7 linked regions of the Cricetulus griseus genome follow. The protein of the gene in region 7 purifies or fractionates together with the protein of the main gene of each other region. This does not show direct contact. Links are inferred from orthologs where the notes say so. Each region holds a gene or a part of one and is shown on either strand. Other genes may lie near its edges.

What was found.
Region 1: the proteins of Ap2m1 (region 7) and Necap1 purify together in Homo sapiens (affinity purification with mass spectrometry; 3 studies listed by BioGRID and IntAct, counting the BioPlex papers as one, with this or other methods). This does not show direct contact. The link is inferred for Cricetulus griseus from reciprocal best matches to the Homo sapiens genes AP2M1 and NECAP1.
Region 2: the proteins of Ap2m1 (region 7) and Necap2 purify together in Homo sapiens (affinity purification with mass spectrometry; 4 studies listed by BioGRID and IntAct, counting the BioPlex papers as one, with this or other methods). This does not show direct contact. The link is inferred for Cricetulus griseus from reciprocal best matches to the Homo sapiens genes AP2M1 and NECAP2.
Region 3: the proteins of Ap2m1 (region 7) and Eps15 purify together in Homo sapiens (affinity purification with mass spectrometry; 4 studies listed by BioGRID and IntAct, counting the BioPlex papers as one, with this or other methods). This does not show direct contact. The link is inferred for Cricetulus griseus from reciprocal best matches to the Homo sapiens genes AP2M1 and EPS15.
Region 4: the proteins of Ap2m1 (region 7) and Mea1 purify together in Homo sapiens (affinity purification with mass spectrometry; 3 studies listed by BioGRID and IntAct, counting the BioPlex papers as one, with this or other methods). This does not show direct contact. The link is inferred for Cricetulus griseus from reciprocal best matches to the Homo sapiens genes AP2M1 and MEA1.
Region 5: the proteins of Ap2m1 (region 7) and Aak1 purify together in Homo sapiens (affinity purification with mass spectrometry; 5 studies listed by BioGRID and IntAct, counting the BioPlex papers as one, with this or other methods). This does not show direct contact. The link is inferred for Cricetulus griseus from reciprocal best matches to the Homo sapiens genes AP2M1 and AAK1.
Region 6: the proteins of Ap2m1 (region 7) and Itsn1 purify together in Homo sapiens (affinity purification with mass spectrometry; 3 studies listed by BioGRID and IntAct, counting the BioPlex papers as one, with this or other methods). This does not show direct contact. The link is inferred for Cricetulus griseus from reciprocal best matches to the Homo sapiens genes AP2M1 and ITSN1.

Annotation. Positions count from the first base shown.
Region 1 is NC_048601.1:22,311,587-22,315,086, reverse strand, and holds part of Necap1 (adaptin ear-binding coat-associated protein 1), read right to left. Parts: intron 2,471-3,500; coding exon 2,370-2,470; intron 2,221-2,369; coding exon 2,116-2,220; intron 1,551-2,115; coding exon 1,469-1,550; intron 724-1,468; coding exon 615-723; intron 168-614; coding exon 1-167. UniProt on the Homo sapiens protein: Involved in endocytosis.
Region 2 is NC_048595.1:12,176,806-12,180,305, reverse strand, and holds part of Necap2 (adaptin ear-binding coat-associated protein 2), read right to left. Parts: intron 3,365-3,500; coding exon 3,256-3,364; intron 821-3,255; coding exon 643-820; intron 1-642. UniProt on the Homo sapiens protein: Involved in endocytosis.
Region 3 is NC_048595.1:40,446,703-40,449,832, forward strand, and holds part of Eps15 (epidermal growth factor receptor substrate 15), read right to left. Parts: intron 2,528-3,130; coding exon 2,346-2,527; intron 1-2,345. UniProt on the Homo sapiens protein: Involved in cell growth regulation. May be involved in the regulation of mitogenic signals and control of cell proliferation. Involved in the internalization of ligand-inducible receptors of the receptor tyrosine kinase (RTK) type, in particular EGFR.
Region 4 is NW_023276806.1:256,099,485-256,103,203, forward strand, and holds Mea1 (male-enhanced antigen 1), read left to right. Parts: upstream 1-1,381; 5' UTR 1,382-1,392; coding exon 1,393-1,495; exon of another isoform or gene 1,496-1,524; intron 1,525-1,987; coding exon 1,988-2,268; intron 2,269-2,346; coding exon 2,347-2,449; intron 2,450-2,837; coding exon 2,838-2,989; 3' UTR 2,990-3,219; downstream 3,220-3,719. UniProt on the Homo sapiens protein: May play an important role in spermatogenesis and/or testis development.
Region 5 is NC_048601.1:58,727,063-58,730,562, reverse strand, and holds part of Aak1 (AP2-associated protein kinase 1), read right to left. Parts: intron 1,015-3,500; coding exon 1-1,014.
Region 6 is NC_048597.1:5,925,777-5,929,276, forward strand, and holds part of Itsn1 (intersectin-1), read right to left. Parts: intron 1,893-3,500; coding exon 1,687-1,892; intron 1,109-1,686; coding exon 1,026-1,108; intron 1-1,025. UniProt on the Homo sapiens protein: Adapter protein that provides a link between the endocytic membrane traffic and the actin assembly machinery. Acts as a guanine nucleotide exchange factor (GEF) for CDC42, and thereby stimulates actin nucleation mediated by WASL and the ARP2/3 complex.
Region 7 is NC_048597.1:68,094,040-68,097,222, reverse strand, and holds the end of Ap2m1 (AP-2 complex subunit mu), read left to right. Parts: intron 1-291; coding exon 292-411; intron 412-512; coding exon 513-648; intron 649-747; coding exon 748-845; intron 846-1,407; coding exon 1,408-1,519; intron 1,520-2,092; coding exon 2,093-2,227; 3' UTR 2,228-2,683; downstream 2,684-3,183.

The sequences.
Region 1 (3,500 bases), on a different chromosome or scaffold from region 7:
CCATGGTTAGATTTTGGAATAGGCGGTGGGGTGACATGGTTGCTGATAGCAACAGAGGATGGTGGGGGAATAGTGACTTTGCCTCCAGGTGGAGGTGGGAGTAAGCTCAGGCCCCCAGTCCCTGAGGCCCGGGGCTTAGAAGCACCTCCTTTCTTGGTTGTAATGTTCTGTAAGAGAGAGAGAGATCACTGACCTAAAGAACAACAGGAAAATAATTTTTTAAAAAAATCTCAGTCAATATACACCCTTAATCCCAGCACTCGGGAAGCTGAAGCAGACAGATATGTGAGTTCAAGGCTAGCCTGATCTATATAACAAGTTCCAGGCCAACCAGGGCTATACAGTGACACCTTGTCTCCTAAAAGAAAATAGGGGCTGGAGAGATGGCTCAGCAGTAAATAGCACTGGCTGCTCTCCCAGAGGATACAGGTTTGAATCCCAGCACCACCACAACCCCCACAGCGGCTAATAGCCACCTGTAACTCCAGTCCAGAGGATCAACACCCTCTTCTGGCCTCCACAGACACTGCATGCCTGTGGTGCATAAACATATATGCAGGAAAACACCCATACACAGAAAATTAAAAAAAAAAAAAGGAAGAAATCACACTTACCCCAATACTCAACTTGATGGTCTGACCTTCCTTGAAGCCTAAATCCAACTTGGGACGATTGTCCATTTCCTGAGATTCTTTGGAAATCTCAGTTTCCTGCTTCACCCACCTTTGGGGAAATAATTTATCTCAGTTTGGAATTCCCTGAAGAAGCAGAGTCTGACAGGAATCTGGCTAAATCCCATTCAGACAACTGGAATTCCAGAAAGCCGAGTGGGGACCCATCAGACATGAGAAAGAAAAGGGAAAAGAGTCTGCAAGAGGCCAGCTGGGCTCAGACTGAGGGGCAATAGGGAACGCATGGGAGATGCATCCCTCCCAACGGTTCTCGGCCCTTGCAGAGTACCGCCCCAAAGGAGAGGGGTCGGTTACCATGTTCTTGCAGGTTCCATCTCGGGGCTTTAAATGTCAGAGTTAGGAGCAATAAGAAGAGAGGGCTACACCGTCCTAGAGACAGGAAGTGATGTGGTGCTAGGTGCTGCTCACTACTGCTGTGCCAAACTCAGTGGGGCTGAAGAAGATACATAGGCAGGAGACACACAAGCAGCCAAACTGACAGAACGGGCACACACCTGTCATGGACAGGCTGCTGCCACCGTGTGCCACCCTCCAGCACCTCTTTAGGAGAAAGGTAAATTCCCCATGGTCACAAACAAGCATCAACCCAAACCACCGCACAAGGACCTAAAATATATTACAGGCTGTAGAGAAAGACAGCAGGTACAAAGGTAAGGAAAAAGTAAAGAAGAGACTACTGAATAAACCACGTGGCGAGAGGAACTCCCTTACAGAAAGAAGCAGCACTCCCACCCCGGGATTACTAGCCCTGAAATCTAAGGACAAGCTTCACTCACTTGAAGTGATCTTGCAAGGAAACGTTAAAGTCGAAGGCGTCCCCCCGATCTGTGAAGCCAATGCCAATAAATGCACTACGCCCTGTGAAAAAGGAGCAATCTCAGAAAACGGGTTCCTTATGACGACTTCTGCCTATCAGAGACAAACATGTCACATGAACTGCATAAAATCTGCTTGGTATTTTCTCACAGACCAGCAGCAGGCAGCAGATAACATGCAGCCGAATGAGGCCAACTCTTCCCACAGCAAGAGTCTGAAAATAAAGTTCTACTGAATACAGCCACATCAACTTGGACAAATGTGTCTGTGGCTACTTCACCCTGCAACCACCAAACTGGGAGCAGCACTTACAACGTGGCCCACAAAGCCAAAAATATTTATTGTCTTTGGTTACCAATCTATTAAAAAGTATGAGGAGGCTGGGCATGGTAGTGCATGTCTTTTGTTAAATAAGCATTTTGATTAATTTAACTTAAACTCAATTGAACTTATGCTCACGTCTATAAAATGTTAGCCCTTTTTCTTTGATAACCATAGTAACTTTGAAAGCAAGGGAAGAAAAGTTAGCAAAAGGAAGACAACCACTGTATCAGAGCTCATTCGCTATTTCCTGGTCTCATCCCACCAGAAACCCCAGCTTCCTTACCGGTACCATCCTGGATCCTGATCACGAAGTAGCGGCTGGAGTCTGTCACAGTCTCCACAGCAATGCCAGGGTACTGTTCTACTGGTGCCTGAGCAAAGAGCTCCCCTAACAGCAAGAAAGAGACCTCCTTGAGCATCAGAAGCAAAGCTAACTCCAATTAACAGGGATTTTTCCCTGCCAGTCCCCCATCTGAGTCTACTGACAAAAGCCTACCAACCCAGCACCCCCATGTCTGAGAGCACCCCTGCGCTTACCTGAAACTTTATCTTCCAGTTTGATGTAGGCGATCTTCCCTTTTGAAGTGATTCGGAGGCGGCCAGTCCAATCTGGCTGGTCTAACTTCCAGTCAGATGCCCTGTGAAAGGAAAATGGCAAGCCTGAGGCCTCAGTCCTTTTTTTTCCGCTATGCTAGAGGGCCTATTCTTTCTGCCTATTAAATAATCATGAAAAATAACTCACGCTCCCCTTAAACTGGGGCCTCGTGTTCTAATGTCTAATACAGGTGTGGTGGGATAGGCCTGTAGTCCCAGCACCAGGGAGGCAGAACAGATGAACTTCTGTGAGTTCGAGACCAGCCTGGTCTACAAATCAAATTCCAGGGCAGCCAGGGGTGTTACATATAGAAACCTGTGGCAGTTTGAATATAATTCGCCCCCATAATCTCATAATGAGCGACACTATTGGGAAATGTGGCTTTGTTGGAGGAAGTGTGTCAGTGGGGACAGGTTTTGAAGTTTCCTATGGTCAGGATACTACCCGGTGTGTCTGTGTCTGTCTCTCTGTCCTCCCAGCTCCTTCTCCAGCACATGTCCACCTGCCTGCTGCCATGCTCCCCGCCATGATAATGGACTGAACCTCTGAAACTGTGAGCCAGTTGCCGTGGTCATGGTATCTCTTCACAACAATGAAAATCCTAAAGCAGGAGTTGGTACCAGGGACTGGGGTACTGCTGTGTTGGCCTAACCATGTTTTTGTTTGGAGGAATTTGGACTTAGGTACTTAGGTTTGGAAAGCAGTGGAATACTTTAAGCTCTGTTTAAGAGCATGGAAGAAGACAGAGGCTCACTCCTGAGGTTTCAGAGAAGAATTCCAATACGTTGCGTAGAGATAGTCCTTGAGATATTTTGGTGAAGAAAGTGGCTGCCTTTTGCCCTTGTCTGAAGATAATGCCTGAGGCTAAACTGAAGAGATATGGTTTAATTCTGTCGACAGAGGAAATCTCAAAACAGCCTAGAACAAACTCCGTCATGTGGTTACTAGTGTTCACCCTTATAAAGATTTATGATGCAAAGGAGCAAGCTGAGCAGGGTAAATAACAAAACGTAAATTTTGAGGAGAAAAAGAGCACCAGGAAGTGGAATGGAGCTAAGTCTTGTGTTCAAGGA
Region 2 (3,500 bases), on a different chromosome or scaffold from region 7:
CTGCTGACAATGCTGTGGAAAAGGGCTGGTGACTATCCCAGCTTGTTGGGGAAGTATAGGGAAAGAGCTCCCCAGCACTGCCCACTGGGAGCAGCCTCTCAGCTTCCCAGCTCTTGCTGGTGCACCAAGGAGCCCACACCAGATCTCCCCAGTGGTGTCTCCTGCTCACATGGCACACTAATGGCTGCATCGACCTCAGAACAGTGCTTCTCAAAACCTGAGCCTTGGTCTCACTCTTCTTTCTACTTAGAATGCCAACACCTCTGACGAGTGGCTTTCCTTCATAGTCTAAGCTCCTCCGGAAAGTCCCCCAAGGGGGATGTTGCTGGCCCTAGTGACCTGGGCCCGATACATTTGGCCTGTGCACCTGTGGTTCACCTTTCCCATGACATCTGGGCACAGACTACTTGATAACACACTGAGGCCCAGACACCTGAACACTGAGAACTTCACAGTCACTGCCTACCAGGACAGGACAGATGTCCTGAAGGGGAAGGAGAAAGGCCAGGAAATAGAAGAACGTCAAGTGTATGCAAGACACACTCTAGAGCCACCATCTACACACACACAGGGAGTGTGAGAAAGGGAAGCAACAAGATCACAGCTGCCAGCTACAGATGCAGGGGTCACCCCAGCACTCACCTGAAACAGAAATAACTGCTGGCTGGGCTGCAGAGCCCCCAAAAGACAACTGCTCCCCAGGGGGAGGGATAAGAGTGGAGGTCTTGCTCCCTGGAGGAGGGGGCAGCAGGTTCAGCCCTCCTGTGCTGGCAGGCCTGGTTCTTGGCGTCCCAGGTGCTGCTTCCTTCTTTCTCATGTTCTAAAGAGAAGAGAAGAATGCAAATCAGCCATCATGCCACAGTCATCATGTACTGGAAAAACCCATGGAGACCTCCAGTCCTCAGCATCTGTACAGCAAACGATAGTCCCATTCAGCAGCAGCAGGAGCTATAGCCAGGCCATCCCAATTTTCCATCTAGCACCAATGCCGTCGATGTTAAAACCCAGCACCTGATTTCACTTTTCATAAGGAAAGTACACAACAATTACAGCCACACACCATTCTGCCCCATGAAAACTGCAGAGTACTGACAGGGACGGAGCGGCCACAACATTCATGCACAGTGGGGTAAGGGAAGCCGGTCAGAGGACTCTGCTGAAGAAGCCAAAGGCATCCACTAAGCGCATCACAGGATTCTGAGGTCTCATCCTTAGACACATGTGCTCCACAAAGACATGAGCTTGAACATTCACAGCAGCACCAGCTGGAGCTCACCAGATGGCATCCCCCCAGTGTCTATCCTCAGTGAGACAGATGAGCTAGGAGCACACACACAATGGCATGTGCCATCACAGAGGACAAACCACCCAGGCAGCAATATGGGAAACTCTTACAACATGACACTGAATGAGGGGGATCATATACGAAAGGATTAATTCTCCCACACAACTCACAAAAGCGAAGCACAGACCCAATCCAGGGTATCTGAAGTCAGGGCAGGAAGCTACCAGAAGTGGGTAGGACAAGGGCTCCCAACACAGTCTTTTACTTCCTGACCTAGGGAAGTCCCATGCTTTGAAGGTGGGTGTGTGTGTGTGTGTGTGTGTGTGTGTGTGTGTGTGTGGTTCCTGACCTAGGGAAGTCCCATGCTTTGAAGGTAGGGTGTGTGTGTGTGTGTGTGTGTGTGTGTGTGTGTGTGTGTGTGTGTGTGTGTGTTTCCTGACCTAGGGAAGTCCCATGCTTTGAAGGTAGGGTGTGTGTGTGTGTGTGTTCACACATGTGCTTGAGGATGCATGTGAGTATGCAGGCCAGAGGTTGACCCTGAGTGCCATCTTCGGTGGAAACACCAGCCACCTCGAGTCTACATCTCTCGCTGCCCTGGACCTCACCACTTAGGTGAGGATGGCTGCCCAGTGAGCACCAGGGACCTTCCAGTCTGTCTCCCTAGCACTGGGCTACAAGCATGTGCTTCCCACACCCAGCATTTCTTTTTGCTTTTTATGTGGGTCTTGAATTTAGGTTGTCCGGCTTGCAACATCTATCTTCCCAGCCCTTTGTTCGGTTTTATAACTTGAGCACTTTTCTGCACGTGACACTTCGACACAACATAATAAAGCATTGAGCACCAAGTGTGAGCCGGAAACCGGCACGAGCCACGTGGATGAGGACAGCAGCTCTGCGTGAGCACAGTGTGGCAGGGGTGGAAGACTCAGCATCCTCCACGTGCATCCAGCTGGGCCAACTATTTCTAATTCTCCTACCCTGGCCAAGTCCCCCCCCCCCAGCTCTGTGCCTCAATCTCTCATCTTTTACAAAGGGACATCCTGAAGCCATATGAGAAATGCCTGAAAACACTACCTGGCCCACAGCTGGCGCTCATTAAATGTTAGTGTCTTCCAAGCAAGAGAAAGAATCACAGTGCCACTAGTCCACTGGATTGGCCTTGCATTTTCTCTCAAGGGCCAGCTGGCCAACGTCAAGGTTCCAAAGCATCACCAGCATGAAGCAGGAAAGAGAAAGAAACGGTGAGTAAAGAGGACAAGCAATTCAGAGTCACACGCTTCCTCCAAACAGACCCATTTGGCCCTGGTTCCCCCAATGCCCTCCAATTCCACCGACCCCTCTACTCCAGCAGCCAGGGAGAGACCATGTCTGGGCACCCAGTTCACCATGACAAGTGCTGGCAGGGGATGCTGGATGCAAAGCCACACAGGAAGAAGACTCAAGGAGCCAGGACAGTACCACCAGCAGAAGCTGCCTTGGCTCTCAGCATCCATCCACGATTCCTTCCAGCACAGTGTGCTCCCAAACCTTCCTCACTCAGGCATGAGGCCAAGATACAGCGTGAGATAAGCACACTGAACCTCCTGATCACTCCATCAGCCAGGACAGAAACACTGGTACTGAGTGGCTACCCTCTGATCCCTCATGCCCGCCCACAGGCCACTCTTTCCAAGAAGGCTTCCATGGATTCCTGCATTATGGGCCATGTGTTTTTCCTCCAGAAGCCCTAGTAGCAGGGCTGCTCTCCTGCCATTTTGCAATCGCATCTGTACATGGCCAGCTCAACTTGGAAAGCCATGGAAGCAGAGGCCTGGTACCCTGGGGTGAACGAGGCCAAACTGATGGGTCAACTATGGCTACATGGATGGAAGTAAACTATGAAGGATTCGGGGGATTGGGAGACTTTGGGCTGGGTGGCTTCAAGAGTCACAAAACCATGGCCCACACAGTCAAGTGAGGGTAGGACTCACTGCGATGTTGATCTTGATGGTCTGGCCCTCCTTGAAGCCCAGGTCCAATTTGGGGCCTTCGTCTGGGTTCTGGGCTTGTTTTGCAAACTCACTCTGTTGTTTCACCCACCTGGAGAGGGCCAGGAAAAGAGAGGTGAGGCAGGAACAGCAGCTACCCTGCCTTCACACACAAGGCCTCCAGTCCAGGAGGCCTGTGCTGAGGCCACCTTCCCAACCAGCAGTCCAGATGCCAGCTCTGAAACCCT
Region 3 (3,130 bases), on a different chromosome or scaffold from region 7:
AGTTACAGGCATGGTGGCACATGCCTGTAGTCCTAGAATATGGGAGCCTGAGGCAGGAGGACTTCAAATCAGAAGCCAATCTGGGACATATAGTGATATCCTATCTCAAAACTGGAGACATGCTTAGGTTAGACTAAAAACAGGAGTGGTGTAGTCTTTCAATTCAATGTAAAATGCTTGCTATTTAAACTTTAGTGATGACTTATCACATAGTGATACTTTCCCTTCCCTTCCTTGCTTTTTTTGAACTTAGAATCTCACTAGGTGGCTCAAGTTGGCCTCAAACTTGTGATCCTCCTGCCTGTGTCCTGAGTGGTGGAATTACAACCATATGGCAGCATGCCTGAGTGATGCATAAGATTAATGCCACCGGTGATTGGTGATCGGAAGCTGCCTTACCTGGCCTTTCAGGGAACACCAAAACTGTAAAGCAAAAACAGGCAAATTCTGCTATATATAAGAACATCAGATAGATTAACAGTATGTGAACCAAATATTTTTAAAACACATTATGAAGATTCTTTTATACATAACCCAGTGTGTATATGTACATATATATACACATATATATATGTTTATATATTTAATAAAACCTTAATATTGATGATGATTAGATTGAAAAAAAATATTTGTCACTACAATCAAATTACAAAGAAACTAGATACAAAACTCTACTTGGTTTCAGTGTTGACACATGAGGAGGCCCATCAAAACAAGTGAAACAAACTAGAAAGCTTTTGACAGTGTACATGTATCTCTTGGTATGGTTGCCAAATCTCGAACAATGAAATTGGAAGACTTCACTGTGAGCTACTTTATGCTGTACTGTACTGATATTCTGAGTATGAAATAAGCAAAATGCCTCCACTATTGTTCAAGATTCATTCCAACCAGGTTTTGACTTGCAGGACCATATTTAACATACTGAATGTCACAAACTCCCGTGTTATTTTATACCAAGGATTACAATCTAAGAAAGCCAATTCTTTTCTTCGTGAAACAACTCAAATTCCACCTGATATGGAAGATGATCCTGAGGTGCCATTTCTTTTCAATATTAAAAATAGGGATTTCTATCTTGTTCCTTCACATTTAGGAGATGCCACGGAACCTAAGAGGACAGACTCAAAAGGTAGGTACTGCAACTACCTTAGCTGCATATGGATTCCTGCCTGTCCCTTTTCTAAGTATGCAGAGTAGCAACAGGGATAAAATAACTACTGAAATGACCCAAATGGTACCCAGAGGAGGAAAACATTAGGCAAACTGTGGCCAGGGACATTTGGCCACTCAATCTCGAATCTCCAAAGTCAAGGATAAAAGGTGATACATAGGGAAATTCCTCTTACAGAACAGGCAGTAGTAATGAATGTCACTTTGACTGAAAAAAAAAAAATCTGGTAAAATGAAACTTTGTTAGCTACTTTAAGAATTTCATTAAAAAAAGATCTGTTTTATCTGAGCAATGACGAAATACATGATGCAGCTACAACTGGTTGCTCCATTTCTCCATAAAGGCCTTGCCCAAGCTGTTCTCATAACACTTCTCCAAGTTTCTTAAAGAATTCTTAGATTTTTTTTTTTTTTTTCCCTAGACAGAGTTTCTCTGTGTAGCTATGTAGACCAGGCTGGCCTCGAACTCAGGGAGATTCACCTGCCTCTGCCTCCAGAGTGCTGGGATTAAAGGTGTGCACCACCACCACCCGGCAAGAATTCTTAGATATTAACAACAGTTTATTTCGTAAAACTGAAAAGGGTATCATGGTAGAGCACAAACTTAGCATGAATGAGTAACTGGGTTTACAGACTGATAAAAAGAACCACAACAACAAACCATGAAAGCTAGTACATGAATATAGTGGGTAAAGAGTGTTGCTTTGTATTCAAAGAACCCCAGCACTGTCCTCTCACAGAAACTGCCAACCAGTCTCTAGAAACTGCTAAAACTTTGTACACAAACACACATACACAGTTATAAATATACAAGCTTGTTACTGGCATTATACACAGTAGGCAGACAGCAAACTTTTAAATCACCATCATGCATGACAATTTGCCAAATATAACTGTTGAGACTTTACTTATATTTATATTACCAGGACTGAAAGACAGGTTTATAAAACAACTTGTTTAAAGAACCAAGACAACTAAAATCAGCTGAACAATGGAATCATCTAAGAACCAGCAAAACAAATGCAAACAGATTTTGCTTGGGGAGAATAAAAGATAATTTTTAGTATGTTGGCAAAATGATGCAAATTTGGAAGACTATGAAGAAATCTTTGACAACTCTTCAAACTATAATGGAAAGATTTTCCCCCAAACAGCCCATTCACAGTACTTACAGCACTGAAGTTAGCAAAATTGCTTGGGTCAGCCTCTTTATTGGTAGTGGCAGTAGAAGTGAATGGATCACAAAACATATCAGGATCTTTTTCTTTGGGACTATCATTGCCTGGGAAAGGCTGAAATGGATCATTCAGTTTAAAGGGATCAGAAGAATCCAATTTGTTGATGGGTCTTTTCCCTGGATCAAAATCATTACAATTAACCAGTAGATATAGAAAACACAAGCACACAAGAACATGTTCACAGGGAGCGTTAAAGAACTGCAGGTGGGGGACAGAGGTCCAGGCACATTCTCAATGTGGCCCTCAGTGGTCACACCACTGTCCTCAAAGCTTTCACACTTCTCTCTCAAATAATTTCAGGTGCAGCTAAATGGACAAAGACCAAAACCAAAAAAGTGGAAATGAGCTAAGAATCATGATCTTGTCCAATGATGAAGTCTTTCTCCATTTAAAGAGGCATGCTCCTAAGAAAGATAATGATAAACAAGGAACACTGATAAAGAATAAACACAGCCTCAGCCTCTCACTAGCGGCAGCAAAGATATGTGACTCTGAAATGTGGCAAATTTCTTTTGTCTTTTCTCTAGTATATTTACACATACATAATGCTAGCAGCATAAAACATAAGATTAACTTGACAAAACCTCTTATTTTTTTGCCATCTATAAAACTTCAAGCTGAGGATGAGAAACACTTCGAAGTCCATAGCCTTTATAAAAAGCTGCTGACAAGCTAAACTTTGACCAAGAAACAGTATAATTCACCACCCATCATTTCAA
Region 4 (3,719 bases), on a different chromosome or scaffold from region 7:
GAGACAGGCCTGTCCTTCAGTTGGCTTGCCACTACTACCCCCCCCCCCCGACCTCCCTCAACCCTACATTGTATTCTTTAAACAGCCATCTATTTCAACCTGAAATAGCAGCAGCCAAAAGTAACTCTCACTTCAGTGCTCCTGCTCTTAAATCTGGGCTTGTCGGGAAAGCTGACTAAAAGCTTTAAGAAGGGAAGTCCAAGGCAGGTGTGGTAGGGCATGCCTTTAATCTCAGGGTTAAAGGGGAGGCTGTGATGTCTATGAGGTTAAGGCCACCAGAGCTACATAGTTAGACCCTGTCTCAAAAAAAAAAAAAAAAAATGGGGTGGGGGGGAAGGACACACATCAATTTCCCTCATAGCCTTCACTCTCCCTTGAAGGTAAATCCAGATAAAATGGAAATGCACAGATGAGACTATCAATCCCAAAGAGAGTCGGATAAAGATCCCATCATCTTCATTCACAAGGATGACTCAAGGACAGGGGTTTCCGGCATTCTCCACCATTACACTTTCCATCTTCCACTCACTTGGTGTTCGCTCCCCCTCCCTGACTGCTTGCAGTTTTTGCTCTCCACCTGCGAGCCTTGACCTCCTGAGAGCTCTGCGGTTCCCTCCTTGCCTTTCCTTCTGCATCACTGCAAGGCCCACACTAGAGCCCTCTAATTCGTCTACCTCCACGAGGGAAAGAATACATTCATCGTCCCCTTCCAACCAGAGACGCTCCCCTCTGAGTATGACTCGACTGCTGTTTATTCCACCTTTCCCAGCCGCCCCTCCCCCACAGCGCCAGACACTGTCCCCTCCCCCTGCCATTATGCTCAGCTTCCTGATTCTCTTCAGAACACACTCGTCCAGTTTCTTTCTGCGCCTCCTCCAGCCACCAGGTCTTTCCCACCCATCTCCGCACCATTTCCCCCAAACCTTTCGCTGTCCATTAACTCTCCTCTTTCCCAGCATCCCCCTAGTTCCTTCCCCACCGCCATCTCATCCTTCCCAGCCCCTCCCCCGCGACTCCAGCGGTAGGATGGGGTGTCACCAGACCCTCCAATCTTTCTCATCCCTCATCCCATCCCCGACTACCTGCCAGGCCGGGCCGGGGTGGGGCCGCGGGTCCTCGCGCTGCTGGCAGCCTAGAGCCCGTTGCGCGCCAACCGATTCCTCGGTCCCCAACGAGATAAACACTGCCAGGCTCCGTCCTTCCGGCGGGCAGCAGGGCGCGCACGCGCAGTGAGAACCCTGGGCCCGACGCCTTCAGGGATTTGTAGTCTCAGGGACTTGTAGTCCTCAAGCTGCCTCAGGACTGGCAGCCGGAGGGGGGTGCGCGTGCGCAGAATACGGCGCTCTCCCGAGGGTCACTGGGTAATGTTGTTCTTTGTGGTCCGGGCAGGGGATGGCGGAGGCGGACTTCTCGTCCTCGCTTGCGTCAGTCTTGGGCACGGGGCGGGGCTGGAGGACTAAGAGCCGCAGCGCGTCCTGCCCCGCCGGAAGTGAAGGTGCGGGTCCGGCTGTGGGCTCTGAGAGGGTGAGGCGCGAGCAAACACCAACGCCAAGAGTCAGTGGGGGCGGGTAGGGGACGCTGCAGCCGGGGGCCATTGAAGGGCTTTCTTTAGGCGGTACTGCGGTGGCCCAGAGAGAAGGGATGAGGGGCGGGGACGCGCGATCGTGGGTAGTCCGGCGACCTGCAGTTGCCAAGCCCGGGAGGGGCGTGACGGGAGAAGGCGAGGTTCTGGATACGGTCTCTTCGGAAGCGGTGAAGCCCTCCGGTTGTCTGTTTATTCAGGAATCGGGAGAATTAAAGACTGGTGGGCTCGAGTTCAATATGAGAACCCAGACTTAAGGCGGGGAGGCACAAGGGATGGGAGAAGGTAGGAAGATGCTCTGAGAGAGGGAAGTGGGTTTTATGAATGTAAAAGGACACTGCAAATCGTGGGATGAAAGCGGACTTGGTTTCATCCAATCCCTATCCCGCCTTTCTGTCCTTGCAGCCCCTGCCCGGATGGCAGCAGTAGTTCTAGGGGGAGACACCATGGGCCCTGAACGTATCTTCCCCAATCAATCTGAGGACTTAGGGCCACATCAGGGTCCTACAGAAGGAACTGGGGATTGGAGCAGTGAAGAACCTGAGGAAGAGCAGGAGGAAATAGGAGCAGGCCCAGCAGGCTACTCCTACCAGCCCCTCAATCAAGACCCTGAACAGGAAGAGGTGGAGCTGGCACCGGTGGGTGACGGAGAGGATGGAGCTGCTGACATCCAAGACCGGATCCAGGTAGGGTGGAGGGATTGTTCCAAAGAGGGTGAAACAGCGCACCAAAACCTGGATGCAAATGACCTCCTGTTTCTGCAGGCCCTGGGGCTTCATTTGCCAGACCCCCCATTAGAGAGTGAGGATGAAGATGAGGAGGGAGCTGCAGCATTGAGCAGCCACAGCTCTATCCCCATGGACCCAGGTAAAAAAGCTCATTCTTTCATTTGGGAATACCCGTGAAGGAAACCAGTAAGAAGTTTCAAAGAACCACCTTACTCTTAAAAAGAAGGCGCGGTGGTGGCACATGCCTTTAATCTCAGCACTCGGGAGGCAGAGGTATGCGGATCTCTGTGAGTTCGAGACCAGCCTGGTCTCCAAAGCCACAGAGAACCGTCTCGAAAAACCAAAGGGGGGGAAAAAAGTTTGTTAACAGATTTCAGACTTCAGAATCTAGGTGAAATGCTACTTAGCTAGACTTGGCAATAATGTGGAATTGGTGATTCCAGAGTCAGGGGTCCTGTGTTGATTCAAGGAATAGGGAGAAGTGGTCCCTTATGTCTTCCCTAACCAGCCTGTGGCTATGCTTTCAGAACACGTGGAGCTGGTGAAAAGGACGATGGCTGGAGTAAGCCTGCCTGCACCAGGGGTCCCTGCCTGGGCTCGGGAGATATCGGATGCTCAGTGGGAAGATGTAGTACAGAAAGCCCTCCAAGCCCGGCAGGCATCCCCTGCCTGGAAGTAACCACACGGAGAGCTGCCCCGTCTCCTCCCTACATTGCAAGCCGGGACCAGCACAGGACTAACACAACTCTGGTTTTAACACCCACCTTCCCATGTCCCTTTCCACATCAAGGCAAATCAGACTCTCAGAGACCCACTTTATTCAGTTCTGTACATATGGGGACATTGGCCCGAGCCCAACCCACCTTAGCATGTATCATTCTGTGGAGAATAAAGCACCCTATGTACACAGCCAGAAGCCACACTGCCTGTGCCCCTGAAACCTGGTCCAGCCCTCCCCAGTCCTTGCTTTTCTGAGTGCCCAAAGGGTACAGGTGATGGCCTGCCCAGCATCAGCATAAGCAAGGAAAGAAATAGGTGCTGCAGGAGCCATGCCTGGGGCACTGCTCCTACTTCCTTCTCCATAGCTGAAAGCAGTCAGCCACCGGGTGGTCCCTTCCATGTTTGTTATCCCAGGACTGCTGCTTGCCATAGAGGGGCCAGGTAGATGGTTCATTCTCCCCACCTTGGTCCACTGGGCCTATATTCATCTAGTGTCCATAACATACATTTCTGACCTCTGTGTTGTCATGGTTAGGTGGAGGATAAAAGGAACACACCACCACCAACCCCTGCCTGCATAATGCTAGGGCTAGGGGCCTATTTGTGCTGCTGGGGGTCGGTTCTCCAGCTCTTCACTCCAAGGGCCAATGGAGCTTGATGTAACTTTGGTGACAATCTCCTGCTTTACC
Region 5 (3,500 bases), on a different chromosome or scaffold from region 7:
AGCCAGCCAGCAACTGCTTATTGCTTTGTGAAACAATCTTGTAGGCAGCGATGGGCTGGGCTTCTGGACTTGACTCATCTTCTGGGCTATAGTGTCGGGAATATTTGGACAAAGCCTGGGGGCGGAATTGCTTGCCAGCCACCGGCCCAGAAAAGGCTTCTTTCTGGGGCTGCAGGCCTCTGTTTCTGTCACTGGGATTACTCCCAGATTCCATGGGAGAACCTCTGGGAGAGCTGCTGTCAAAATGGTCTGCCACCTGGACAGAGTGGGAAGGGAGACCAGCCTGCTGCGTAAAGACACCCTGCGTCTGGGCAGGGGTGTACATAGCTCTATCGAGGCCTGGAAGCAGGGGCCCTTCACCAGGCTGACTGAGGCCGGCCTGCACTGGCAAATCCTGTGAGGAGCCCTGTACGGCCAGTAACTCCTCCACACTCCTCTTCTTGGTAAAAGGAGCTCTGGAGAACACGTCCACCTCCTCTGTCTGGGAAGGAGCTAAACTGCCCTTGGAGACAAAAGGGGCTTTGGAGAAAATGTCCATGTCATCTGCTGGAACCAGAGAGCTCCTGAAGGGGGCTGTGGCAAAGACATCAGGCTCTCCGAGACCATCTGAGGCCTGCTGGTTGACTGGCAAGAACTGGCTCTTTTTCCCGCCTTGTCCCCCCTTTTCTGGGTTAGCAGACACTCCAGGTTCAGAGAACAGAGTGGCTTCTGCCAGCTTCTCCTGGGGAGGCCTGCAGCTCTCATCCTCCTCTTCAGACTCCAGAAGGAGAGGCCGAGACCCGCTGCAGTCCAGCACGTCCCCCTCCAGGTCGGTGCCCTCCTCCTCACTGCTGTGGAAGGAGCTATTGCTGGAAGGCCCCTCTCGGGTCAGGGAGTCAGATTCTAAGGTGTTCTGGGTCTTTGTTCCAGGAACTCTGCAGGGATCTGGATAGAGGGCGAGGCCTTTGGCACCCACGGGTTCTTTAAAGTGCTCTACAGTAATTACAGGACAAGGACTGGGCTCTCTCTGGAGACCTAGAAAAGCATAAAATTTAGAATTAATGTGGAGGCTGGGTCAGAGCTTTTTGGAACATTTAATGGTCAACCGAGGCAGATACATTGTGGAACCAAATGATAGATGTTGAAAATGGAAAAACAGAAAAATAAAAAGTCAAGCAAGGTAAATGCACACAGACTGAGGACACAACCACAATCTCATACTTTGGATCATGATAGACATAATGAACAGGAAAGGTGGAAATGTTAGGCACACAGACATTCAGGGCAACTAGGCAACACTCCTACTTGCAGGCCAGGCACAGACACCTGCTCTACCTGGCTCAGAGCCAAATGGAAACAAGCCCAGTCATTCCTCTCCACATACACCAGACAGTCTGGGGCTATGGAGAACCACTGCCTGGGGATGAACTTAACTCAGCATCTGGCATGTGCTCCACATTCAGAAAGACAGACCCTCTGACAGGCAGAAAGCTTGGCTGTCAGTAAAAGCAGTGCTCACAGAGGACGTGGTGCCTGATGCAAATATGGAGGGCACTTTCTGAGTCATACTAGATGACAGCAACTTTGGCTGGAGTGGCCCTAGAATTTTGTTTTTAGTGTCCCAAGTTAGCAAAGATCTCTGTTTAATGAATCCGCCATTAAGTTCTTTAAGCAGAAATACTAGCAAACTCCAATGTACTAGCATAAGTGGTAATGTAGGTAGAGGTGCCTCTGGGTGCTCTGGCATTTAAAATCAAATACACAATTATCAGAATGCAATAGAGCTTACCTTCCAAGAAATATTAGCAGGTTAGAAGTATGTCATTGGGCACATGTTAGCAAGAGGGTAGGAAAAAGGCATATGTAACTAAGCAAGAAGAATCCAGAGAAAGGGTGGGTGGGTAGAGGGGTAGGGGACAAAATATATTCCATTATGGGCTCAAAAAAGACATATCACCAGAATGTCCCAACCCATCAGGACACTGACTATTGGCCACTCCCTCCCAACTGGGCCCTCTCCATCTGATGAAGGCCTCACCAGAAGGACTTTCGACTACACAGTGCCATCTACTGCATCCTTGCTGGAACTAAGCACACAGCACAGAGGAAGGGGCTACAAAATTGATTTATTGAAAAAGCACTTATCAAGGATTTACACCATAGAGAACACAAAGGGGGGGCTGAACACTTGATTAAAAGACACAATACAAAAATACCGTATTTCTGAATCCTGTAACTTTTTTTAAAAAGCAGTGCTTCATTTTAATCAGTTGACAATGAGTAATTTTCAGTAGTCCCCCTGCCTCAGTTTTTATTTCCCTATCTAATAGTTTGAACATAATGTATTCTAAACTCAAAATTTAAGCTGAATCCTGTTTGGTACAGTGTGGCTTTTTAAATAATAGCTGAAGAATGTGATTTTGAAGAGAATAAACTCTTTCTTGCATTATAGCTCTCTTGCATACAGAAACCAGTAGGGAATGAAGACTTCCTGTTCCCTCACAGTGTATATGGACACAACCGTAATTTCTCAGGCAAAACAACTGAGATTAGATTTATCTCAGAGATACCCAGGTAATAATTTCTGTGAGGGAACTAAAGTGAAGGGGGAAGGGGGAGCCACTAACTTTCAAAATAAAACTCACCAAGAAATGTAAGAGGTTCCTAAGATTCCATAGGCTATTTCCTCTTAGACGAAATTAAGGTACACTTCTTCTCCTTTCCAAGACTACCTGAAATTTATTGCTTCTACAATGGCTATGCAACAGAGCAAAGCATTCATTAGCACACACAGAGAGAAGGTTCAGTCAAGCCAGTAATTACTCCTGGTACTGTATGGACTTATTTGATAATAATACTGCTTTCACTGTAGTCAGTGATTTGAAGGATCTGAAATTGGATTCATTCAATCAAAGTCATGTACAGACTGCAAAAAGCATCTATCTATCTAAAGACCCAGGCCTAATGCCTTCAATGTAGATTACATCCTGAGAGCTATGGGGTAGCAGGGGAGAACTCCCTCATCCACAATGTGACATGAGGAACATGTTCACCCAATGTAAACTACTGTCACGTAGCAAGCTTTGAGTAAAAAAGAACCCAGTAAAAAAAAAAAAAAAAAAAAAAAAATCCACCAACTCAGTACATCTTTGAATTTTGAAGTGAATAAATAGTAAGATATTTTATATTTAAATACTGACAGCTTTGAAAAGCTCAGAATTGGCTGAGTGTGATGGCTCGTGCCTTTAGTCCTAGCACTCAGAAAGCCAAGGCAGATGGATCTCTGTGAGTTCGAGGCTAGCCTAATCAACATAGTGAGTTCCAGTCAAAGATATATAGTGAGAACTTGTTTCAAAAAATAAAAAACCAAACCAAAACAAAAAAACCACCACAGCATCAAGTCTAAAGGGAAAATCAGTTTCTCGTTGTTTAAAAGGATCATAGCTATTTCCTCTATCTCACTATGAATATTCTTAAGATTGGAAAAGTGCACCTAACAGGGCTTTCCTGAAAAGTCTGTC
Region 6 (3,500 bases), about 62 Mb from region 7:
AGCATGTTATATCAAAAAAGAGGTTTTTGCCTTGTTCTAATAGTGCTAAAATAATTATTAAGGAAATGTGAATGTGTAAAGATTATCCTAGGAGAGTCCATATAATAATAAATATGTATATTCATATAAAAAATAGTAATAGTTACGTGGAAAAATTTGGAATTTTTTAAGTGGCGATAGGGTTTTACAACTATGCCTGCAAACTAAACAACCATTATTTTGAAAAGTCTCCTTAAGAATGGACTAGTGTTCCTGGGAGTTGGAACGAGCATTAAGCCTTCATCCGTGCAGCCTCTGCTGAAGCAATTATTCCGAGAACTCTGTTTTCCGCTGGCAAAGTTTCTAAGGAACACAACAATTTTACCACAGCACATGAAGCACACTCTGTCATCACAGATGTACTCCAGACACCTGTGAAAAGATTGCCACACACCTCTGCCGACATCTGTAACTGCAGAGCCTGCTCACTGCCACACAGATGCTTAACTCAGGTGGCCCCGGCCAGCGCTACCAGGTAATGACTGCGGTGAGCGTGGAGGAGACCAGTGAGGCCTCAACTGTGTAAAACTTTAAAATACCTCTTTTTACAGCCTGGCATATAATACCTAGGACTATGCCATATAACAAGGGTCAGAGGGGGGAAAAAAGCAATGAATTATTTGTAATAAGCCTATGTAACCTGACTTGGTCATTCACAGAGCACAGAGATCTTGTGGCTCAGCTGGGGTGTACCCAAGGCACTCGTGGTGTTCTGAGAGCTTCACTGGACTGTGCCATCAGTTTTAAAGCAATACAGTTATGGATGTAAACAAGACAAGAGGGCTACACGGGGAAGCAAGGCCGTCATTGACACATGCTCAGAACTTGACCCCTGGTGGACGCAGTGGGCTTCTCACTGCCAGACATCATTAGGCAGGACAGAAACATCCGGCCTATTTAAAAGTGAATCCAGTCATGGTCATTTACAGTCTGCACCAAGTAATGTGCTCAGCCTCCTAAAGAGAGCGGACACACCCCGTCCTCACCTTCTCCAGGAACGGCTGGCTTGGCTGCTGGGGAAGACACTCTCTTTAGGCTAGCAGGACTTTCGGTAGGGCCAGTATCGATGCTGTAAGAAGGGAAGAAAAGAGTATTTTAACTCTCACCTGAGAATACCAAATGACATTGCTTTTCTCTTTGAAAGCTACAGAAGACCAAAGCTGCAGCAGTCACTAGCAGCTGGGTACGGCCACAGTGAGAGTGCTGGAGGCATGCGTGACCACGCTCACCCGTCTGCTTTGCCCACTCACTACACAGGACACACAAGCTCAATGCAGTCTCTTCAGCACTGACTAGCAGATGTTGTGGGCTATTTCTGCTATCTTTGCATGGTGGAATAATCCAATAGTTCTATGCTACATGCAGACACTAATGAAGAAAGCCATTCATTCATTCTTCCAGTCGATTCCCCAAATGCCTTGTATTTGGTACTGTACTGGGTACTAAGCATCCAGAGTCACAATTCCCAACAGCTGCGGGATTCTTAGACAAGGCAACACAGTGCACAGGCTGCTCAGGAGAACGGGATCCCTTTCCACCCTTCACACACACACTTCATCCTGCAGCTCCCACCAGTGAATCTAACCAGCAGGGACAACAATTGCTAATACTGTTTCCGTCAAACAGAAGCAGATAACAATAAAGTACCTGGTAGCTTTCCTCACGGGCCCTGAAATGAGTTTCACGTAAGACTTGGGGAACCAACCCTTGTGACCTTGAACTTCTCCAAACCACCACATGTCTTGCTGTTCCAGAACGGTGATGACATCGTTTTTGTTAAAATTTAAGTGGTTGTCTTTCTTGGCTCTCCAAGGATACAGGGCTTGCGCTTGTAGCCCCTCCACTTTTTCACCCTGTGTGGGATGACATAAAGGACCCGTGATTACACTGCAGTTTTTTAATCAACCAAGACAGAGACACCGTCTCTGCCTGGCAGGAATGCTAGGCGCCTCGTGGCTTCTCTGCAATTGTTCATTTTAAATGTGGAGATCTAAAAACCCTGCCGGCCGCTCCCAGAGCCCCACCCAGCCTTACTTCTTCAGATGCACTGGCTGTGCATCTTTTATACTTTGATGTAACGGGGCAGACATTTCAGGATTGAATGGTGTTTCAGTTTAGGTGGACACATGAAAACAGGCCATGCACTGGACTGTGCTTGTTTTTTCCCATGATTGTGGACATCGTGGGGTTATAAGGATGAGGAAAACATCACTTCTGCTCCCTCCACATAGTTGGGAATTGGCATTTTATTAACATTAAAGTGCTATAAGAATATCCTCTAGTAATAGGAACTTAGTGTACCAGGAAGAGAGAAAAACAGCAAAATATATCACTTGGAGGAGTGAAACACACTACAGAAAAGTTCTCCTGCCTCACCGTGAGATCAGAGCGGCAAGAAGGACAAAGCCTGCCTTGGAGCACCAGGGACAGTTTCACAGGGGAAGAGGCATTTGAGCCCTGAAGGACGAGAAGGGTTTGAGAGCTAGCACTGCAGAAGGGCACTCCAGGCCAAAGGCAAAGGCCTCGAGAGGAGAGGAAGTGGCAGGGCAGGAGACAAGGCTGCAAAGGCAGGTGAGGCACTTATTATCTACTTAAAAATCATGGCGGCGACTTAAACAACTAAAACAAGCCCCACTTGGATTCTCCACATAAATGGATAAGGAGCAGAAGTTCATGTGCAAGGACAGCTGGTCTGGATCTGTCTGCGATTGACTGAGGTGATTTTTATTTCTGCGGTAAGATCTGACTGCATGAAACAGGAAACTTCTGTGAGTGTGTGTGTGACCTCTGACCCTTGCTCTGCATGGATTCTTACCTCCCTACACCTAAACATTCTGACTTTCTTTCATTTTAGCACCAAGATCACTGTGTTCTCCACCTGTCGCTTCCTACTTGCCCAGTGATCACAGTGCTTCTGCCTTGCCTACTCCTCTCAGCTATGTCAGGACTTCCAGGCCAGAGTGGAAGGGAAGCCATTTGCTCTGTGCCTTTACAAAAGTCTGGGACATCTCCCTTGACACTCCTTCCCTAAATGTTAGGTTCTGAACCAGCCCGAGGTCAGATGAGACTTCAGCACGGGGGCTGAATCCCAGATCTGCCACTTAATAATTAATTCTGCGACACTTGGGCAATGACGGATTTCTCCAAGCCTCAGTTTCTGAAGGCTGTCACAATGTTCAGAAAGACCTGCTATCGTCTTTGCTGTGACTGTGACGAGGCTGTAGTACCACAGTCCCTGGTCCTGAGCTGGGCAGTGCTGCGGCCAGTGGTGACTTTGGTTTCCAGGGAACCCCTGCTTTTCCCTGTCCTGGTCACTGCAGGCCGCTCAATGCACAGGCCCCTCACTTACGCTGACTGACGCGCTGCTCCACTCCTCACAAACCAGCAGAGTTCTCGTGGCTCAACTTCCTCCTTCCTCACAGCACGCTTGCACGCTGCATGACTTTCCCTTTCCTCAGTCA
Region 7 (3,183 bases):
TGGAACTGCTAACTCTGTCATTGCAAGAGCATCAAGTGATAAGATAGATGAAGGGACTGTCATGTCCTCGGAGAACAAGCTCCTTTGTTCCCCAGCATCAGGGTTCTCAGGTGATAATGAACCTGAAGGCTCTCCCTCACCTCAAACTGTAGGGCAGGGATTCCCAAGTCAGAAAGCTGTTCCGATAGCTTCCCAGGGATTCCCAAGTCAGAAAGCTGTTCCGATAGCTTCCCATAACCAGAGTGGCTAGCCTACTGTGGCATGGCCTCTTAGTTCTACTTCTGTTTGCAGCGGTAAGCAATCAATTGCCATTGATGACTGCACCTTCCACCAGTGTGTGCGACTCAGCAAGTTTGACTCTGAACGAAGCATCAGCTTCATCCCACCTGATGGAGAGTTTGAACTCATGAGGTGCCACTGGGGTGTGAGGAGGCAGGGGGTGCACCTGGAAGAGGTGGGAGGAAGAGAGCGGGACCAGCCCTGTGGTATCCAATCTGTTCTCTCCTCCAAAGATATCGTACCACCAAGGACATCATCCTTCCTTTCCGGGTGATCCCATTAGTTCGGGAAGTGGGACGCACCAAACTGGAGGTCAAGGTGGTCATCAAGTCCAACTTCAAGCCCTCACTTCTGGCCCAGAAGATTGAGGTGAGGATAAGGAACTTGGGGAAGGTGGACTTGACTCGGGAGTAGGGACAGATAACATTAGGCCTTCACAGAGCTCACTGACGATTGTGTCACTTCTAGGTGAGGATCCCAACCCCACTGAACACAAGCGGGGTGCAGGTGATCTGCATGAAGGGGAAGGCCAAGTACAAGGCCAGCGAGAACGCCATTGTATGGAAGTGAGTCTTGAGGAGGCCACAGCCAGGCTCAAGATGCCATAGTGTACCTTCTCGTTAAGTTTCACCTTCTGTCCTCTTATGTGGATTATGGGGTGAGAGAAGTGTGCCTGCTTTTCTAGGAGCCTGTGTTTGTATTGTCAGCTGAGAGAGACACAAAGAGACAGTGTGTGTGTGTGTGTGTGTGTGTGTGTGTGAGAGAGAGAGAGAGAGAGAGAGAGAGAGAGAGAGAGAGAGAGAGAGAGAGAGAGCACACGCACACCGGCACTTGAGCTTGTATGTGTCTATTTTTCAAAAGTATTTCCCATTGACCCTTGTCTTGTGTCTGAAACATACAGTCTAGGTAAGGGAGATCTCACCCATACGTGTAAAAAGAAATTGAAGCCCCAAGTGCTTAAGGTGTAACAAGTAGTTCTCAGGGCCCTGAGCTCGCATCCTTACCCTGACACCACCCATAAGCCCATATGCCCTTATTCCCTCTCCATGCTTGAAATAAGCAATCCCTACTTTGAGAATTCTCCAAACTATCACAGGCCACTACTGCCCATTATCCCTGTGTTCCTAGGATCAAGCGCATGGCAGGCATGAAGGAATCACAGATCAGCGCAGAGATTGAACTTCTGCCCACTAATGACAAGAAGAAGTGGGCTCGACCCCCCATCTCCATGAACTTTGAGGTATGGCGGGCAAGCCTAGTGCCATGGCTGGGTGTGATAGGAAAGTCTTTCAGATCAGTCTCTGCTCCTTGGGGGTGAGGAAACTGGGAAGTGTCTTGAGTTGATAGACCCATCCTCTTTAAGCCTCTTAATAGAAGTCAAAATTTGATCTGACAGAAAGCTTGACTTCTTGACTTGTCACAAAACAGTTCCTGAGAAACATTTAGATTGTTTAAAAGACAGTTAAGAGAATTTTGTTAGAGACAAGACAAGCTGATGTTGCTTTGTGTGAATTAGACATCATATTCTCCCTTCATTTTTGCAGTCCATGGTGTTGACAAGGATAAGTATGTCAAAGGTAGTTCTCTGATTACCTCCTGACATTAGAGGAATGGTTATCATCACAGCTGGGGCCTTCTTCAGACATGAGATGATCATAGTAACTCTTCACTTGGTAACCTCCTAGTGAGCTCCCCCACCCCAGCAATTCAAAAACACCTGTGGTAGATAAGGGCAGTGAACCATGGAACTTGCCAGAGTAGATCCACTGTGATAGGAAGGCCATGTTCCTAACTGGAGCTGTCCTCTGCCCAGGTGCCATTCGCGCCTTCTGGCCTCAAGGTGCGCTACTTGAAGGTATTTGAACCGAAGCTGAACTACAGTGACCATGATGTCATCAAATGGGTGCGATACATTGGCCGAAGTGGCATTTATGAAACCCGCTGCTAGCTGCCTAGTGGCAGCTGGCCCACCTCCCCACCCACCCTTTTCCACAGGTTCAAGTACCCCAGTGACCACTCGTCAGTGTCTTTCCTCCCTCCTGCTTTGCTGCCTTTCCTTTACTCTAGCCCCTGAGTATAGGTCTGAACCAGCCACAGTGGGACTGCTGAGGCGGTCCCCAGCTTCCTGGGCAGGGTGGTTTTTGAGGCTTCTCTTCCATCTATCTGTCCTGGCTTAGTACCAGGCCCTGAGTTTTGTGACCAAAGTCAGGTGGCCCCCTCTCCTTTCTACCCTTGTGGCCACACCTCTGCAGTAGGATGGTTGACAACCCCTCACCTCAGAGCTCCCCTAAAGGCCAGTAACAGATCCCCAGCCCTTAACCCCTACTCTGCTTTGGGATAGTATGCTTTGTTTTGTACACATGTGACTTCGTCCAGTTATAAACCCAATAAACTGTAGAGTGGAGTTGTTGGCTAGTGTTAATGGGGCTGTCGGGGAGGGTCTGGTGGGCCTGTTAACTCTGTGTAGCCCTGGCTGTCGTGGAACTCTGTGTGTGGACCAGGCTGGCCTCAAACTCACAGGGGTCTGCCTGCCTCTGCCTTCTAAGTGCTGGGATTAAAAGTGTATACTGACATGCCAAGCTTTGTTTTGTTGAGTCTTGCCACATACTGCCCTGGCTGACCTAGAACTTACTATAGACCAGACTGGCCTTGAAGTTTTGGTGATCCCTTTGCCCCTGCCTCCCAAGTGCTGCTATTACACACATGTGCCTCCACTCCAGGCTTTGTTTGCTTTGAGCTGGGTTTTCATTGTGCAAGCCCAGTTGGCTGAATTCAGGATTCTCCTGCCTCCACCTCCCAAGTGCAGTGTTGCAGATGTGAAGTTTTCTAGTTAGCATATATCAAGTAAGATTTGTATTTGTGTCGGGCGTTGGTGGCACACGCCTTTAATCCCAGCACTTGGGA